3 linked regions of the Arabidopsis thaliana genome follow. The protein of the gene in region 1 purifies or fractionates together with the protein of each later gene. This does not show direct contact. Each region holds a gene or a part of one and is shown on either strand. Other genes may lie near its edges.

Region 1 (6,797 bases):
TATTATGCGTAAAGCAGGTTTGAAGGGTCCAGTTTCAGTCAGGACAAGACAGGTTCGTGGATACTAAGTACAAATGTTATAAGTTTTTCAGGTGCATCTACGGTGTAATCACTCAGTTTTGTACTTTTCTATGTTCTTTTTGTGGTCAAAGATGTAAGATTATTGTGTTCTTTATGGATATAAGCTTTCAATGATGTTGTACAGTTGCATATGTGTGTGTTTATACAAGAAACGTTTCTAGAAAACTTTGAATCAAATTCGAAGAACTTACCTGAAAATTACTGTCCTCGAGGCCTCTTTTTACCATGTTGAATTAGGTCAGCATATGCCTGGAAACTTAGACCGACATCTTCATCGTATTCAATTCCAAGCTCCTCCTGCAAAGTAACAGTAGTCAAAAATTATGGCGAAGCTGATGTAGTCTGTAAGAAAAAACTCCTGAAGAAATATGAGTTTGCACCTTTAGTTCCTTCACATCTTTGGGAGAATTCTCTGTTACAGTATCCCAAATGTCTCTGAACATCCTCTTACGCTTGCGCCACTGATTAATCTTATCCGCATACATATCTTCAACAGCCTTTTTGTCTTCTGGCCTCACCAATGTAATCCCTTCACGTAGTTTGACCAGTTTCTCTTCCATTTCCTTAACCTGGTACACAGTTGAAATCACTTTATAAGCTATCAACAACCTTACTCAAAGAAAGACAAAAACCAAAAGGTAAGAAAAACATATACCTCTTTCCTTAGTTTGGCATCTTTCTCTTGTATCTCTTCTAGTGTCAAGTTTGACTGCAAACTCTTGATTTCTGCAAATAACATCACAGAACATAACATTATCCAAGCAGCTATATCACATCCTCAAAACCACTGAGAAAAAGTAGTTTTTTCACACCTGATTCCACATCACTGATAGTTTTCTTCTTCTCTTGAAGCTGTTCTTGAAGTTTGGCATTGTCTTCTTTCATTTGAGCAAGTTCTTCAGAGTTTGGAATCTCAAACTGGTCTTGTCTAGCAATGTATATCTTCTGCTTACCATACTCTTTAAACGTGATTTTTCCAGCATCAGCAAGACTATCAAGTGCCTTTTGCACCGCAGTCTTCTTAAGGTTAAACTTTTGTAGAGCATCAGCTGCATTTTGAGTGTTTAGAGGTTTGTTTTGCTGCATCAAAAAAGTACCAACAACACATTCATCAAAATCTAACAACAATAATACAACAGATTGAAACAAAACTTGCAATATATATATATATATATATATATATATATATATAACCTGTATCAATCAATTTTTAAAACCTAGTCAATATCAATAGCTTCAAACGAAAAATTCATGTGTAAACTTATAGCACAAATTGAAACCCAAGTGATTAAATTCCCAGATTCAGAATCATGTGAACATCACTGCGTACCTTAACCTAGACTCAATTTCAAATTCGAATTCTAATTTTTATGGTCGTATCTGTTTGTGATCTCCGTTTAGAATTAAAGCAAAAATGTAGAATCGCAGAGAAGTGCTTACCTCATTGACAAAGTTGAGTACGATAGCTGCAGAAATAAAAAATTCAGGAAACAAGTAAATAAGAGAGAAATCAAAATGAGGAATAAGATCAAAGAGAACTAGCAGATTTTTTTCAGAGATTATATCATTATACCTTCGGTGTTATCCGATTTAGGAGCCATTTTTGTCGAAATAATTGGCGGGAAATAAAAAACCTGAAGCGAGAGCAACTTTTTTCCTTTTCCGATATTTTCTGAGGAAGAAGAAGAGAGTTACTGAGAAGCTTCCTTTATACGAGAGAGATATTAAACGAAGTCGTATTTGTTGGATATATGGGCCTTTATGTATTATACATAAGCCCATTTAGTTCTTATCTTTGACAGGCCCAATTATATGGACACAGCTTGAAGATGGTTTAGCTGCTGCGAAAGACGAGCTCCGGTCTCATTTCTCGTTCTTCTGATTGATAGATCGCTCGGAACTTGGAAAGCAGCGTAATCGGTAAATTCTCGATCATTTCTTCAATTTCGAAACATTTTCCAATTGTATATTGAGAATCTCAAATCGAATTATTGTTTAGATCTTCTCTCTTTATTAGTCTAAGAATGGTAATAGTTTCTCTCTAGATTGGGACGGCACAAAGTTTCAGTTCTCCATTCTAATCATTTTTTAGAGGCTAATGGGTCACCTTTGAATTATCTCAGAGGCGGAATTGAGTTTAAAGTTTGTAACTTTATCGTCTTTTGTATTGATGGTGTCTATGTATGCATTGTGTTTTATTCTGACTTTGTGTACATTTGTGTTTGATTGAAGGTAGGGAGTGATTTGAGTTTTGGTGAGGATGTCTATGGTTGATGAGCCTTTATACCCGATTGCTGTGCTTATCGACGAGCTAAAAAACGATGATATTCAGCGTAGATTGAACTCTATTAAACGGCTTTCTATCATTGCTCGTGCTCTTGGAGAGGAGAGGACAAGAAAAGAGTTGATTCCATTTCTTAGTGAGAACAATGACGATGACGATGAGGTGCTTTTGGCTATGGCGGAAGAGTTGGGGGGTTTTATTCTGTATGTAGGAGGGGTTGAGTATGCATATGTTCTGCTTCCACCTTTGGAGACTCTATCCACTGTTGAGGAAACTTGCGTGAGGGAGAAAGCTGTGGATTCACTTTGTAGAATTGGTGCTCAGATGAGGGAGAGTGACTTGGTTGAGCATTTCACTCCTCTGGCTAAGGTTAGATAAGGCTGGTTTACTTATTTTATCAAATCTCTTTGGTCGATTTTATTGATTCCTTTCCATGCTCTGTCAAACTTAATATTATTAAGCCACTAAAACAGAAGAACATAGATTTTTTGGGGTCCTTTGTCAATTGTCCCCCAAAGTTTGGAAATATGCTTTTCTTGTTCAGTGTTCCCCTTATAGGTGTTTTGGGAAATTGGTAGGTTGAAGTTGTTTACATCCATTTTGGTTGATCTAAGAGAACATCGCTCTGGCTTTAGCGCTCTTTTGGGTTGTGGTTGTGTATGTGACCATACATACCTCGGTATAGGTGCTCGTAATGTGAAACCGACTTAAGCATTACTGAACACTGTCATTGTGTAACAGCGACTTTCAGCTGGTGAATGGTTCACAGCCAGAGTATCAGCATGTGGGATTTTCCATATTGCATACCCAAGTGCCCCAGATGTGCTAAAGACGGAGCTAAGATCAATATATGGTCAGCTTTGTCAAGATGACATGCCAATGGTGCGCAGAGCTGCAGCAACTAATTTGGGGAAGTTTGCTGCTACAATTGAATCAGCTCATTTGAAGACAGACATTATGTCCATGTTTGAGGATCTTACGCAAGATGGTATGCTCTCCCTTATTATATGTTTCGTTTTTCCAGCATATACTCTTACAATTTTCATCAAGCCTAGTTATGGGGGTGGCTGATGTGTAATAGGCAAGTATTAGGGTTACTGCATTGAACACTGACCATTAGCTGAAGTTAAGCAGAATTACGGTTGTCTACATCTCAGCTTCAGTGTCTTTTTATATTATAATATTACAGATTTTAAGTATCTTATTGACATTGATATCAGATCAAGATTCGGTTAGATTATTGGCTGTTGAGGGTTGTGCTGCTCTTGGGAAATTGTTGGAGCCCCAGGACTGTGTTGCACACATTCTTCCTGTGATTGTCAATTTCTCGCAGGTAAATAAATGTGTGAATATGATAAAAAAATTCTATTGATGAGCTTTATGGGAAAGCTGTAAGGCAGATATGTATGAGCTGCTTTATCTTGATTTTTTTCGTCTTTGAGCAGGATAAGTCCTGGCGTGTGCGTTATATGGTTGCAAATCAGCTCTATGAACTTTGTGAAGCTGTAGGACCGGAGCCAACTAGGTAAGCAGTGATGGTTGAAGTTAGTTATGGTTTAATGTAGTATTGACCTTTAGTATGCAATTCTATATCAAACAATAGATTACTGACTTCAGAGGTATTTGGTACTTGGAAGTCCATGTTTGTTGAGTCATCTTAATAAATTTCTTTGAGTCGTTTTTTATACTTTCTCATGTGCCTTATGTATTAAGGACGGATCTGGTGCCTGCATATGCTCGTCTACTTTGTGATAATGAGGCAGAAGTTCGGATAGCAGCTGCTGGAAAAGTTACCAAGTTTTGTCGCATTTTAAACCCTGAACTCGCTATCCAGCACATTCTTCCCTGTGTAAAGGTACACACTTAAGAAGAGTGTGTTGATTTCATATTATGCAAAGGACCAAAATACTGTCGGTGTTTGCTAAGCTTACCTATAAATCTACACGTAGGAATTATCATCAGACTCTTCTCAGCACGTCAGATCTGCATTGGCATCAGTTATAATGGGAATGGCTCCAGTCTTGGGTAAGGTAAGCAGAATTAAAAACCGATACAATTTGCCTCTCATATCATGAATACTGTCATCTATACAAAAATTCATTTGGCTCTATAGTTTGGAGTGTAAGCTCATAATATTCTATGTATTTAGCATCTTAGAGATAAAGATTTTTTCTTTTATTTGAAACCATCTATATATCTTCTTCGTCCTAGTCACTGTCATCTTTAGGAATTTTTTTAACTGTGCCTGGAAGGTTCTCGCAACAATAATCTATATAAGAAAACCTCACTATGTTTTTCTACACAAGATATTTAGTTGGATTTTGCAGCTTTTAACTTGGCATTGATATTCATTTCAGGATGCAACAATTGAGCATCTTCTTCCAATCTTTCTTTCTCTATTGAAAGACGAATTTCCTGATGTACGCTTAAACATTATCAGCAAACTTGACCAAGTGAACCAGGTTTGCTATTGACCAAGTTACTCATCTCTTTGTACGACATTGGGTTTCTATTTTTTCCCACATGTTCAAAGGAGCTGTATCATGTTTTGGTCAAGTCAATGACTACTTGACAGCAAATTCTTTGTCCATCCATTTTTCATAATGATTCGATTTTTTTTCCTTAAAATTGCCAGGTTATTGGGATTGATCTACTATCACAATCGTTACTGCCAGCCATTGTAGAACTTGCTGAAGACAGGCACTGGAGAGTACGTCTGGCTATAATCGAGTATATTCCCTTGTTGGCCAGTCAATTAGGTGTAGGCTTCTTTGATGAGAAGCTTGGTGCTCTTTGCATGCAATGGTTACAAGACAAGGTCCCTCATTCTCTACCTTCATTGAATCATCCAGATAAATAAATTTGTCGTCTCTACTGCTTGAAATTTTGAAATAATTATAAATTGTCAGGTTCACTCAATCCGTGAAGCTGCTGCAAACAATCTGAAGCGTCTTGCTGAAGAGTTTGGTCCTGAATGGGCAATGCAGCATATAGTTCCTCAGGTTTGTGTAGAAATCTTAAGCATATAGTATGTTTTCAATTCAAATCGAGCATTTTAGCTATTGGTTATTGGAGTATATTTACTTGTTCAGGTTCTAGAGATGATTAACAACCCACACTATCTATATCGGATGACGATTCTTCGTGCAGTATCGCTTCTCGCTCCAGTAATGGGATCCGAGATCACATGTTCCAAACTCTTACCTGCGGTAATAACTGCATCTAAAGACAGGCAAGTCTCTCTCTTAACATGAAATCTCATTGACTCAATTTTTTTCCCAATAGCTAACTAAAAGAACCACTCTCTCCTCCTCTTTCAGAGTTCCAAACATCAAATTTAACGTGGCCAAAATGATGCAATCTCTCATTCCGATAGTCGACCAAGCGGTTAGTATACATTCTTTGTTGGCTCTCACAAGTAAAGAAACAGCTTATGATTCCACATTATCCTCCTCATCAGGGAATCTAAACGTCCATATATTCAAATGTTTTCATTTTTGTTGGTTGTGAAAGGTTGTGGAGAACATGATACGGCCATGCTTGGTGGAGCTAAGTGAAGACCCAGATGTTGATGTTCGGTATTTCGCAAATCAAGCTCTCCAATCTATTGACAATGTGATGATGTCTAGCTAAAAAAAGGTAAAGAAGACAGCAACGAATTGTGTTTGGTTCTCATGAGATTTTGTAAACGATACTTTGTCGTGTGTTGTCTTTTACTTTACACGTACGTGACCATTGTTTCTCTCTGCTACTAATGTTAATGTTGGCTTCATGTTTTCTGTGATTTGTTCGTTGGGCGTATTTGCTTTTTGGTGCTTAATTTTGTTTAGTCCAAATAATTTACTTATCAAGTGATTCGGCAACGTTTTTGCTCGAAGCATGAGTGTACAATTGGTCACCACTGGAATATTTTAATTGGTCAACCAACTTATTGAGTCGTTTTCAAGCCCATGGGCTTTTATACTCCACATATCAGATTCAGGTCGTTGTTGTCTTTTTAACTAGAAGACTATTTTATCAAAAGTCAAAACCTTGTCGTAGAAGGCACTTACGGAGAATTATTGACCTAGGAACTTCCCTCGAAAAGTTCAATATATATGTGTTATTGACGTTTTCTGTTTGATTATTTACAAATTTTGTTGATTATTTTTCACCACTCTTGCACACACCTCTCTCGCTATTTCAAAACTCTACGAAATTTCCTTAATATTTCTATTTGATCTTCCAACAGTTTTCGACTCGCAATAGGATTAGGAAATTACAAATAATATCTGAATTATTTAAACGACAACACAAATATTATAGAGTCTTCTCTTGTTTCTCGGCTTCAGTTTATTTATGTTGTTTATGATTCTGGCTTAATAGTTACGTAACCAAGAGTTTGGAAGAAGAACGATGACGATGATGCAGTACCTAATTCCAGAACCAAAAAC
Region 2 (6,752 bases), on another chromosome or scaffold:
ACAACCCCAATCGATTTCTCGTGGCACAAAAAATGTTGTTGAATCGATGGACCTATTTTAATTGGGCATTACTTCCTTAGCCACGAAAGTTGTTAAAATCCATGTTTGAATAACATATGATTTATAAATTATACACAAATTTCTTAAAATTTTACTTTCAATACACCCCCTTTAAAGTTTGCTTAAATTTATAGGGGTAAAGGACGTGAGTTCGAGTACTCCTCTTAGCAATTCTTTTGATTTTTTTCTTCTTTCTTCTTCATCCCTTGTTAACGGCTGTTAGCTTCCGGATTTGATATCACCAATAGTTTATATACGAAGTATTTTGAAGCTACAAATAATTAGATGAGATATTTTTATTTCAACAAAAAGTATTAGGTATTAAACGCTCATTTTATTATACCGGTTTTAGTACATCCTGTACTGTTGCGATACATGGTTAGTGATCAGAATAGTAAACTTGAATTGGTCGGATTAGTAACTGCTTAGTGCTTACCATTGTTACCAGTTTTTTTTTGTGCCGATTTGATAAAACATTAAGCTAAAGCAGTACAAATCCTTAGCGCTTTCTCTTATCCATAAAAACAATACCTCTAAAAGATTCATGTCCTAGGATTCCTATAAAACAAGAACTAACCAACATATAAAGTAACTATGGCATTGATTTTCACAATTTTTGAACAACTGAAGATCATGAGAGTAACAAAGCTCTAAAGTACAAACAAAAAACCCAGAGATGGAGCAAAGTGAATGCAATACAGATGAAGAAGCCGTAAAGCGATGAGCTAAACGACGACGATTATTAATCAATATAGTTGTAAAATCAGCTAAAAATGAAGAGAAGTTAGAAAACAACTCCAAGCTAAGTATGATACTACTGGCTTCTCCCTTGTTTTTTCACTTGCCTTCTCAACAAAGCTCCAAAGATTCTTCTCAGGGACTTTCTGTTTCTCTTTTGCATGATTAACTAATATGATGAAATAACAACATATCCATAACCTTCAACTTCTAAGTTTTTTTGTTTCCTTTTTTAAAAAATAAAATCCATTCTAGAGATTATGATTTTCTTTTGTTGACTTGCTACCTCTTTGAACTCAGAAGGGAGCCTCCAGTGACGAGTCATCCCAAACCTCAGCACTTCCATTGGATGCATCTTCAACATCTTCTTCCATTGATAGCCGAATATACTCTCTATGTGCAAAACGGTCCCAGTCTGTCAATGTCGGGTTCTCGCGCTCCTGTTTTCGTTTGACATTTGAAATGTTATAAGAGGCCCATTGTGTCAAGAAAACAGCAAGGTTGAATATCAAACGTGGAGTAGTACCTGACGAATGAGGAACGGATCCCGGGTTTCAAATGCCATAAATTTGTTTAGATTAAAAAGGATGTTGAAGACGTTTCCAGAGAGCTTTGAGCCTTTCAGGTCATGCAGCGTTATATGGCTTTCGTTCTGTGGAAGGAAATAAAAAACAATCAAACACAAGACAAAATCGCAAGAGTCAGAAAGAAAAACTGGGAACCCAAACTACTTCTGTGACTGTCATATATCTTCCTTAATATAGAAAGAAAAAAACAAGAGACATATTGTTGAACCTCAGGTCCGATCATATCAATCATCTGACATAAGATATCCTCGAAAAGAACAGCCTCTTGCGCCATGCACTCCATTCTATGCAACTGCTCTTCATAAAAGAATTGCATCTCATTTCGCGTTATAATCCCATTTGCATCCAAGTCTATGCACTTAAACCTAGTCCAACGTATACTTGTGTCAGATAAAAAGACTTAAAATCGTATCTGTCTGCAACTTTCGGACCCTTATATCACAACTTACCAATATTCTAGGCTAGGCACTGACGATTTATCTTCTTCCGCAAGAATGAAATAGACAAAGTCTTCATACCCCATCTTCCCTTCAACTTTGCTAGTGAACTTCCTAGCAACCTAAGTAGAAACCAATGCATTATCCATGATGACAGTCCTCTTAAGAGTAATAATAACTTTGAACGAGGACAGAACTCTTAAATGGAAGCAATATAAACAAAATCCTCAAGTAGAAAGATTTTTTAGACAGAACCTGGGAGAATATTCTGTCGACAATCCGGTAGGTAAGAGCATGGTTTCCATATCTCATAAGATTTTCTTTGTCAATCAGGAAATCGTGATCCGTATCCAGCTCCCAGAACTTGCAGTATATGACATAGAAATGCTCATATGAGAAGTATCTATTTGCCAAAGTAAGTAGAAAAGTCATGTTAAATGAGCAGAAACAATACCATATATACAACAATAGCACAAATTTGTTTTTGTCAGTACCTCAACACTTTGTTAATATCTTCTTCTTCATCAGCATGTAGCATAGCATCAATTAAGTTTCCCCGTTTAAGCTCCCTAAATGTAATTCGACCATTGCCAGATCTATTTATGTAGTAAAATATTCTGTAGGTGACAGTTTCAGCTGTTTCATCAAAATGCAAATTGTATCAGCATGTAGCATAGCATCAGCTGTTTCATCAAAATACATGATTCATAAACAAGCTCCAGATTTTTTTTTTTTCTCTAATATTGATTCATCTGCAGGATTCATAGACAGAAGATGATTCATGCCGTGCTTGAAAGCTTTATGGATTTGCAAGTTATAAGATGATGTCTAACACAACACAACACAACAAAGAAACCGTATCTTATAAAATGTTTCAAATCCATACAGAGTAATACCACATTTATTAGTGTATCTTGATGCATCAATTATCAAAATTATCTTATTTCACTAGAAATACTATTGATGTGGTAACCATTCGACAGATTTAGATAAGTACATCATACCGAAAATGGCAAACTTATTCACTCATTCTTCTCAACTAGGGCTGTAGCTAACCATATACTTCGAAGAATAAAATGTACAACCAAACTCAATTACTAAACACCATTACTCAAGCAATACCAAGCAGAAAAAGAATACATTAGATAAATTAGGAAATGTAAATGAAGTTGAGACCTAACCATATCTTTCTTGGAATTCAGGTGTGGATTGCAGGAACTCTAGGCCAGGATGCGTCGCCAACAGTTCTTTAAGTAGTGGTTTGAAATCATCCTGCCATGAAAAAAAGAAAAGAAAAGAATAGAATCTGGAGTATAAACTCGCTTTCATGACTGACTGAATATGCAAATCAAAAGAAAATTACCTTAACAATGAAACTCTGATCTTTCTGCTTTAGGATCTTGAAGATTTGGGTCGTTGTATCCATTATCAACATGTTCCCGTTTACCCAAAAATCAATAAATGCATCTCTGTAGAAACAAACACGACAAAACTGTTATACTGGGTGGTGTTTCAGTAAACTATGCAGACATGAAGAGGAAGCACCATACAAAAAAAAAAGCATAGAAGCAGCAGCACACACCTAGTAACAAAACCTGTATTGTTGAGATCGATCTTCCGGAAAAGGGAAGTGGAGAAGAAAGATGGGAGCTTGCAGATTTCTCTGGTGACTAACTTGAATTCTGAGTATTGATTGAAAATGGAGAAAAAAGTTAATAAACAGTTAAAATATAAATAGTAGAAAACAAATGACTGACTTCTAACCTTGTATCTGCAAGCCATCCATGTGACCATAAAAGAAGTGATTGATTCTAAACATACATTGCTCTTTAATCTCGCTTGGTGGAGGGCGACCATTTTGGAAATAAAACTAGAATCATTTCAAGTTAAGAAATCAGTGAGTTAACTCCATTCCATTACTCTATATATATAAAGAAGGAAGTAAAAGAGGAAAAGAAACCTGAGGTATAGGCTCTTTAACAGGCTCGTTGACTACTTTGAGAGTAGAACCTAAGTTAGAAGGGGCTCTCTGTTTGGTTGTACGGGGTGAACCACAACTTCTTGGTGAAAGAGGAGGAGCGCTTCCCGCAGGAAACATAGATGGTATAGTGGCAGAATTAGAACCCGATGCACTTCCAGTAACATTGATAGGAGCTCCAGCTACAGCATCCTTAAGCAATGATCCAACCTAGAAAACCGATTAGGAAACGAGAAAAAGATTAGACTAGAGATTCCAGTGAATAGAGTAATTAACCTCAGTAACCTCCTAAGGCATCATTGTCATAACTCACACAACCCAAGAAAGATTCAACACCACAGAGTAAATCTCAGTAACCTAAGCATCATTGTAACACCCACTAACACTATCAAAGAAAGATTCAAACTTTACACCAATGCTCAACAGAAGCCAGAGAGTAATTAAGATTATGAAAGAAAGATTCGAACTTTACACGAATCTACAACTCACACAGAGTAAGCTAAGCATCATTGTAATAACTAACACTATCAAAGATCTGAACTTTACACCAATCCTCAACAGAAACAAATCTCAGTAACCTAAGCGTCTTAACTCACACTATCCAAAAAAGATTCAAACTTCATCACAGTAACGTAAGCATCAATGTAACACTCACCAACAGTATCAAAGAAAGATACGAACTTTACACCAATCTAACTAACACTATCAAAGAAAGATTCGAACTTTACACCATTCTCAGTAACCACCTAAGGCATCATTGTAATACTCACTAACACTATCAAAGAAACAAAAAAAAAGATTCAAACTTTACACCAGAGAGTAATTAAGCAACCAAATCTCAGTAACAACCTAAGGCATCATTGTAATACTCACTAACACTATCAAAGAAAGATTCAAACTTTACACCAATCCTCAACACAACAGAGTAATTAAGCAACCTAAGGCATCATTGTAACACTATCAGAGAAAGATTCGAACTTTACAGGAATCTACAAGTAACAGAGAGTAAGCTAAGAAGCATGAGTGTAAGAATTGTGAAGGCAATTCAAAAGGCAGAAACCTGTCGCTGAGCTTCGGGAAGAGAAAGCCACTGGTCGAAGAGCTTCTGAGTGAATCCAGGTTTAGAATTGAGAACAAAGGAAGACATTTCCTGAAGCTGCAACAAATCTGCATCCAAACAAGCCATATCTCCGGGAATAACCGTATCCACCATATTTAATCAATCGCATCAAAGTCGAGAAGATGAGAGAATGATCTTTGAGGCGAACGAAATTGGAATTTTGAACAAAGTCGAGATCTTCTTCACCAACACATCGAATCTAGTCTTCCTTCTTCTCCGATTCCGAACAAGGAAATGAGACAGCCAAATTCTTTTATTTATTTATTCTTTTGAGCAATCTGAAATAAATAAATAAATTAGAGAGATACCCAAAAAATACTTGAAACAGAAAAAGTTGATTTTAAGGGTTTATAATTTATTAAATGTTTGGGTTTGAGTTAAGTTTTTTGGGGTTTAGGGTTTATTTTTTAGAGTTTAGGATCTAGTTTTGAAAACTTTAAAAGTAATTTTGTGGTATTTTCAGAAAATAATATATTTTAGTGGTACTTTCAAAAAAATATAAACTACTAATAATGTTTTATAATAAAAATTAATTTTATGGTATTTTAAAAAATATGTCCATAAATAAATTAATATTTCGTTGACTAAATAATAAAAATAAGTAAGTGTATTTGAAGTAGAAGTTTTTTTTCTCAACATGTGGTTGAATTCTTGATTTTTTCTATATTTTGTCAACCACACATTAGTTAAAATATTACTTCATAATTGGTAGTCCAATCTTAAGGAAAAATATTTACGAAACAAATTTCATATAATATACTATCTAGAGTAACGAGTTAGACAATCTACCTTATACAAGAGCCATGAATTCTAGAAAGAAAAAAAGTTTTATATATCATATAAAAAATACTTGACGAATGAGAAACATATGATGTGTTTCATATCATGTTTTCCATATTTCATAAGGTTTTCTTTGTCAATCGGGAAATCGTGATCTTTATCTTTATCACATAAATTATAATATATGACATAGAAATGCTCTTATGAAAAGTATTTTGTTGCCAAATAAATAGAAATGTGTTGATATCAAAAAAACTGACACAAAACTATAGTTTGCAAATACGTGTAACTTAAAGTCTGACTCAATATTTATAACAACAAGAAAAAAAAACTATTTTTGTTAGTATCTCAACACTTTGTTGATATCTTCTTCTTGATCACCATAAAGCATATCATCAATTAAGTTTCCACGTTTAAGCTTTCTAATTGTATGTAGATCATATCTAGATCGATTTATGTCATAAGATATTTTATAGGTAACTATTTCAACTAGCCCATGGAAATAAAAATTGCATTCTTGAAAACCTGAGACATGGTAAAATCTAATCAGGTTCACATAATTTTTCTTGACTAAATCACATATCATATATAATTCATGTACTTTTACCAAATTTAGCAAAATTATCCCCTTATTAACAACATTAACTAGGGAAAAGAAAAACTATAGTAGTCATTTAGCTATGGAAGACAACAAAAATGATCATTCTCTATATGGGAGACTGCCATGTCATGCTTGCCAGCCCTAGAGAATCGAAAGGTAATAGAAGATGTTTAACACAACAAGAAAATCTTATTTTAGAAAGTTCATATACAAACTTGCAAGTCATACACTGTAATACCACATTATCCCGATGTACCAACGATGAAATTAATCTTAGGCATCTAGTAATGATATTAATGAGAGAAATTGTTAAGTGATATTTTTAACATTTTTTTTAGGTTTATTATGTTTTATCAACTCTTTATTCGGAAACAAGTCGTTTTGGATGTTTTATCAACTATAAGCCAAACCCTGTATTTCGCGATCTACCGAACAGATGCTCTATGGGGAG
Region 3 (5,805 bases), on another chromosome or scaffold:
TTCAGCAACCAGACTTCGGTTTCTTACAAGGCATACATGTAAGCACCCCAGTGATGATTACTTTGAATATCAGCTTCAAATTAAAACCTGATCTCACTCTTTATCATATACTGTTCTACTATATATAGCTGAAGAAGAAATGCAGAAATTGAGAAATGCATTGAAGATACTATCTGATGCTGAGAAACACTTGAGAGCATCGAAAAACCAGACAACTTGGCTCACTGTGGCACTTTTGCAACTTAGTAACACCGACTCATCATCTTTTGCAACAGATGAAAATGGAAGAAACCAAATAAACAAAGGTCCTAATTCATAAATTCTCGTTTCCTTTATTTCATGCTTCTTTTTCGTGTTGTCTTGGTTACTAACTATATATAACTTACCCTTGGTCATGTATCTAGACGTTGAGCTCTCCAGCACATCATCAGGTTGTCCTGGTGATGTTATTAAATCAGATGCCGAGAAGGGTCAAGAGAGAAACTGTAATGAAACAGTTGAATCTGTGTGGAAAACGGTTACAGATTTGTGTTGTTCTGATTCACTAAAGAGATTTCTGTGGAAACGAGGAAGGTTGACTTCACTTACTGTTGACAAAGGTAACTTATATTTCCCAAAGATGGTCTGAAAGTTTTACTTTGGCTTGTGTCTCAGATAAGTAAATGCATATTCTTTTTTCTTTTCAGGTGTGGCAATAGCTGAGTTAGAATTCTACACACCTCAACATGTAGCAAGAGCCGAGAAATCATGGAAATTGATTGCAGACTCGTTCCAATCTGTGTTAGGATGCAACGTTGAGATCCAAATGAATCTTGTTATCTCTGCGTGTTCTCCACCAAAGAGTGCTAAAGCAGCAGCAAGTCTTTTCTTTGGACTTTTCAGTTGTTCTCGTAGAATGCTTCACAAGTCGTATTTGACTACAAGAACCGACTCTGACTGCGCATCTGAAAAGCCTGCAGTTACAAATTCTCTGAGAAGTTGCCAAGGAAATGTCTTGAGGGCTCGAAGTGTTCGTTCTTCAGCCAATGCATCATCGCGTATGAGCTGTTCCAGTGATCAAGGCGATGCAACTTCTGCTATGTGTACTCCACACATTCCTCCGGGTGAAAAAAGGTAAAACATGGTTCATATTTATTCATTTCAAAAGTAAGTTGTTTTGTGATTTGGCTAGCTACTCAAGTATACTCTGCCTCTGACTTTGTGCAGGCCAGAAGATGACACTGATGTGTTGTGTTGGAAGAAGACTCCCCTAGGCAAGGTAAACATCTCGACTATGCCTAAGAATTCGGTTTCAGATCTCTGTCTGTACCTTTTTGGTGTTTCTAATTTGTGATGATGATACATGTCTTATAGGGTCAGAGCGAGACACAGAACAGCAAGAGCTCACGGCTTATCGGCCGAGTCCTTCCCTGCAGCACTGCAGCTAATTAAGGGAGCTCGATGAGGGTAATACCCATTTTGTGGAAGTGGAACCAATAGGTTTTAGCAAACCCATTGTTTAGGACAATGTGACACAAAAATGTATAGTTGCAAAATGTGTTTCAAGACCATATTTTAGATTAGCATATACTAATCACTCCTTTAACAGACCTGAATTTTACTGTCTTTGGACCCTTTTATTGACTGAGCTCATTATGTTTTCACAAATTATCTCATTCATTAAAACGAATCAGAATAAAGTGAATACATTAGTCTTCAACTTTTTTGTTACAAAAAGTGGATAATGTTTAATTTTTTCAATAAACTGATTTGAAATTAGAAACATAATTTGGATAAGGTTTTAGTAATTTGGGATAAGATATTGACAGAGAGATATTTATAAATTATCTGGTTTCACTATTTTGGTAGGAAAACTCCAAAATTAAATCCATAACCCTAATCGATATCTCTCTTGGACAGGCCAGCACATGTAACGAGCAATCGTGACCGTTGAGACAGTAACACGTGGCAACAGTCCTTATGATGAGACCTTTGATGAGAATCAGCAGCCTCCATTTCTGTAAGCTTTTTGTTCCTCCCAAAATTCCCAAATCCATCTTCTTCTCCAAACAATCTTCTCTCAAACATTACTACTATTTTCCAGGATAGCTTACGCAGCTTCAGACTCGGGTTCTTCTTTTCGATCTAGCCTCCGTCCTCTTTCTTCTTACCACGGATCTCGCCTGCTCTTTTTCCGTACGACGGTCTGCTTTGTGGATAGTTTGGCTGACGACGAGGCGATTTGAACATTAACAGTTACTGGTACTTGGAGTTTCAAACATTTCTCCGATGTTTTGGTTTTGGCATTTAGTCACGGGAATGATTAATTGATTGATTGCTGTAGAAATATGTGAAGAATGACACGTAGAAGAATTTGATGAAACCTTGGGATGCATAGGCTTCTGTATTATGGATTGGTGATTTTAGATCTCCATTTATGTCGTTTCACATCAGTGTCTTGTGGTTTTAGCTATATGCTGTTTTGGTTTTAGGTTGATATTTATTGTATGGTATGTGTTTGTTAAAGGAATGATTTGATGATGTTTCACTGTTAGGGTAATTGCCAAGGATGGAGGGTTTCCTAACGGATCAGCAGAGAGAGATGATGAAAGTTGCAACTCAGACTGCAGATGATCTTCCACCCTCACAAAAACCTCACTCGGTTTTACTTGAGCATCTGCCTAAACCATCTGGTGGTGGGAAAGCTTCTGGTGCGTCAAATGCTGTGAAGCACAGAAGGTCTCATGCGGGAAGGTCTATTCGCTCTAAGAAGGGTCAGTTACTACCTTTATCAGTTTAGATTTGGGTTTCTAAACCATCAAGTGTCAAGGGATGGCTCTTAGTCAAATTTGGAGCTGAAAATTGTGTAGATTGCATATTTATACTTCCTTTGTTCTTCGGGTAGCGGTGATTGATAAATTTTGTTTCAGATGGAGGTGGTGGGAAAGGAAATTGGGGAAAACTTATTGACACTGATGGAGACTATCACATTGACCCGAATGATCCTAATTATGACAGTGGAGAGGTAGTTTCTGCACCTTTCGTACTAGATGGTTGATTATTTTCTTGCCAAAGTACTTGCACAAAACTGTTTCTGTTGTCCATCTGCTGTTCAGATGATGTAGAAAATTTATCCATTGTGTGTTACTTTTTAGAGATCATCAGTCTCAGCTCTCTTTGTGTTTTTTTTTGTTTTATAGGAACCATTCGAGCTTGTTGGTGCAACTCTGTCAGACCCATTAGATGATTACAAGAAAGCTGCAGCTTCCATCATTAACGAATACTTCAGCACCGGTGATGTTGATGTGGCAGCAGCTGACCTCATTGAACTTGGTTCAAGTGAATATCATCCCTACTTCATCAAGCGGCTTGTCTCGGTAGCGATGGACAGGCATGACAAAGAGAAGGAAATGGCCTCGGTTTTGCTTTCCGCATTGTATGCTGATGTCATTAACCCGAACCAGATAAGAGATGGATTTGTCCTGCTGCTCGAGTCAGCCGATGACTTTGTGGTGGATATACCTGATGCTGTCAATGTTCTTGCTTTGTTCCTTGCACGTGCTGTCGTGGATGACATACTTCCTCCAGCTTTTCTTCCTAGGGCTGCCAAGGCACTTCCAATAACTTCTAAAGGTTACCAGGTTGTCCAAACTGCAGAGAAAAGCTATCTATCAGCTGCACACCATGCTGAGCTAGTAGAAAGAAGGTGGGGTGGACAGACTCGAACCACTGTTGAGGAAGTCAAGAAGAAGATTGCTGACATTTTGAATGAATATGTGGAGACTGGAGAGACTTATGAGGCATGTCGTTGCGTAAGAGAGTTGGGTGTTTCTTTCTTTCACCATGAGGTTGTGAAGAGGGCCTTAGTTACTGCCTTGGAAAACCACGCAGCAGAAGCACCTGTATTGAAACTGCTAAATGAAGCAGCTTCAGAAAACCTGATAAGCTCTAGTCAAATGGTGAAGGGATTTTCAAGATTAAGAGAAAGCCTTGATGATCTTGCTCTTGACATTCCTTCAGCTAGAACCAAATTTGGTTTGATTGTGCCAAAAGCTGTCTCAGGTGGTTGGCTTGATGCTTCGTTTGGTTATCCCTCTGGTGAATGTGGACGACAACAGAACGAGGATGAGAAACTAAAGCGGTTCAAGGAAGACATTGTGACCATCATTCATGAGTATTTCAACTCTGATGACATACCAGAACTCATACGCAGTCTTGAGGATTTAGGAGCACCCGAGTACAACCCAATTTTTCTAAAGAAGCTGATAACACTTGCTTTGGACAGGAAGAATCACGAGAAAGAAATGGCATCTGTTCTTCTCTCATCTCTTCACATCGAGATGTTCACCACAGAAGATGTTGCAGATGGTTTCGTCATGCTCCTGGAGTCTGCAGAAGATACAGCTCTTGACATTCTGGATGCGTCCAACGAACTTGCTCTGTTCTTAGCTAGAGCTGTGATCGATGATGTTTTAGCACCTTTTAACCTGGAAGAGATCAGTAGCAAACTACGCCCTAACTCAAGCGGAACTGAAACCGTGAAGATGGCTAGGTCACTCATCTTTGCTCGACATGCAGGAGAGAGGCTTCTAAGATGCTGGGGAGGTGGGAGCGGTTGGGCAGTGGAAGATGCAAAGGACAAGATATCAAATCTCCTGGAGGAATACGAAAGCTCAGGGCTGGTATCAGAAGCATGCAAATGCATCCATGAGCTAGGCATGCCTTTCTTCAACCATGAGGTGGTGAAGAAAGCACTGGTGATGGGTATGGAGAAGAAGAAGGACAAGATGATGCTGGATCTTCTGCAGGAGAGTTTCAGTGAAGGACTCATAACCACAAACCAGATGACCAAAGGGTTCACAAGAGTCAAAGACGGACTTGAAGATCTTGCTTTAGACATCCCAAACGCAAAGGAGAAATTCAACGACTACGTGGAGTATGGGAAGAAGAATGGTTGGGTTTCGTCGTCGTTTTTAACTTCCCTAACTGAAGATGCTAATGTAGGCTAGAGATCAAGAGGAGATATCCCAAATGGTGTGTGAACTAAAAAAAACTGATAGAATGTACAAGTCTCTTTCTCTCTTGAGCATCCCTGTGGTTGTTTTGTTTTGCACTTTTAGGCTTTGAGAATTCTGCCCAGGGAGCTTATCTTTTCACGAATGTTTAACTTTTTTCTTCAGAGGACCTTTTTATTGCTCTGAATTTAGTCCAACGGAACTTTGGGGCTATATTGGATCAAGTTTCAATTCAGAGTCAATAATAATGCCTTGATGACAATTAGACAAAACAAACTATATTATTTGCATTTGGTGTTTTTCTAATTATGATCCAAACTTTAATCATTTCTTTAATTAAATAAATTCCCATATATGCTTCGATGTACACACAGAGACAACAAGGAAGGGAAGTCTCGAAGCTAACATGAAATTCGTAATACCAAAACTACCCTTCACACTCTCTCTCTTCCTCTCCCTCTCTTTTCTCATCATCTTCCTCTTCGCCTTCCCCACCACATTCCTCCGCCGTCCTCTCTCCTCCTCTTCCTCCGTCACCTCCGTTGCCGACGAAGGAATACGGATCCGTCACCATGGATACTCCTCCTACGAAGCATACATCAAACACCAGCTCAACAAAACTCAGAACCCGAAGCTACGTAAGGTATGGACAACGCGCGACTGGGACAGGAAAGTTCGTGTGTTCTCCACTTTCTTCCGACGTCTCAGCGATCGCGGTCTTCTCTCAAATCAATCAAAAGCTCTCTCGATCGGTGCTCGGGTTGGACAAGAGGTTGCGGCGTTGAGATTGATCGGCGTGGAAGACTCCGTC

What was found.
Region 2: the proteins of PP2AA3 (region 1) and AT5G28850 fractionate together in Arabidopsis thaliana (co-fractionation; one large-scale study listed by BioGRID). This does not show direct contact.
Region 3: the proteins of PP2AA3 (region 1) and ECIP1 fractionate together in Arabidopsis thaliana (co-fractionation; one large-scale study listed by BioGRID). This does not show direct contact.

The regions. Positions count from the first base shown.
Region 1 is NC_003070.9:4,562,892-4,569,688, reverse strand, and holds PP2AA3 (protein phosphatase 2A subunit A3), read left to right. Parts: upstream 1-1,839; 5' UTR 1,840-2,000; intron 2,001-2,312; 5' UTR 2,313-2,340; coding exon 2,341-2,733; intron 2,734-2,942; exon of another isoform or gene 2,943-3,105; coding exon 3,106-3,352; intron 3,353-3,584; coding exon 3,585-3,697; intron 3,698-3,809; coding exon 3,810-3,889; intron 3,890-4,077; coding exon 4,078-4,219; intron 4,220-4,313; coding exon 4,314-4,394; intron 4,395-4,721; coding exon 4,722-4,826; intron 4,827-4,999; coding exon 5,000-5,182; intron 5,183-5,273; coding exon 5,274-5,366; intron 5,367-5,456; coding exon 5,457-5,596; coding exon of another isoform or gene 5,597-5,600; intron 5,601-5,684; coding exon 5,685-5,751; intron 5,752-5,877; coding exon 5,878-5,997; 3' UTR 5,998-6,261; downstream 6,262-6,797. Other genes in the region: AT1G13340 (Regulator of Vps4 activity in the MVB pathway protein), read left to right, coding at 1-67; AHP2 (Tat-binding protein 1(Tbp-1)-interacting protein (TBPIP)), read right to left, coding at 279-377, 461-649, 736-806, 893-1,160, 1,521-1,546, 1,654-1,681; AT1G13310 (Endosomal targeting BRO1-like domain-containing protein), read left to right, coding at 6,760-6,797. UniProt on the Arabidopsis thaliana protein: The A subunit of protein phosphatase 2A serves as a scaffolding molecule to coordinate the assembly of the catalytic subunit and a variable regulatory B subunit. Involved during developmental process such as seedling and floral developments.
Region 2 is NC_003076.8:10,876,266-10,883,017, forward strand, and holds AT5G28850 (Calcium-binding EF-hand family protein), read right to left. Parts: upstream 5,221-6,752; 5' UTR 5,014-5,220; coding exon 4,861-5,013; intron 4,011-4,860; coding exon 3,783-4,010; intron 3,693-3,782; coding exon 3,587-3,692; intron 3,505-3,586; coding exon 3,405-3,504; intron 3,292-3,404; coding exon 3,186-3,291; exon of another isoform or gene 3,152-3,185; coding exon of another isoform or gene 3,095-3,151; coding exon 3,004-3,094; intron 2,459-3,003; coding exon 2,317-2,458; intron 2,226-2,316; coding exon 2,078-2,225; intron 1,945-2,077; coding exon 1,835-1,944; intron 1,751-1,834; coding exon 1,594-1,750; intron 1,451-1,593; coding exon 1,325-1,450; intron 1,239-1,324; coding exon 1,095-1,238; 3' UTR 523-1,094; downstream 1-522. UniProt on the Arabidopsis thaliana protein: Regulatory subunit of type 2A protein phosphatase. Involved in post-transcriptional regulation of HMGR but not in root growth regulation in response to salt.
Region 3 is NC_003075.7:12,779,915-12,785,719, forward strand, and holds ECIP1 (MA3 domain-containing protein), read left to right. Parts: upstream 1-1,847; 5' UTR 1,848-1,999; exon of another isoform or gene 2,000-2,083; 5' UTR 2,084-2,396; exon of another isoform or gene 2,397-2,534; 5' UTR 2,535-2,548; coding exon 2,549-2,753; intron 2,754-2,909; coding exon 2,910-3,004; intron 3,005-3,179; coding exon 3,180-4,988; 3' UTR 4,989-5,283; downstream 5,284-5,805. Other genes in the region: AT4G24790 (AAA-type ATPase family protein), read left to right, coding at 1-38, 129-305, 405-599, 687-1,113, 1,207-1,258, 1,354-1,431; AT4G24805 (S-adenosyl-L-methionine-dependent methyltransferases superfamily protein), read left to right, coding at 5,401-5,805. UniProt on the Arabidopsis thaliana protein: Involved in target of rapamycin (TOR)-regulated translation control, especially under energy-deficient conditions. Involved in the regulation of the ethylene-mediated signaling pathway. Involved in salt stress responses.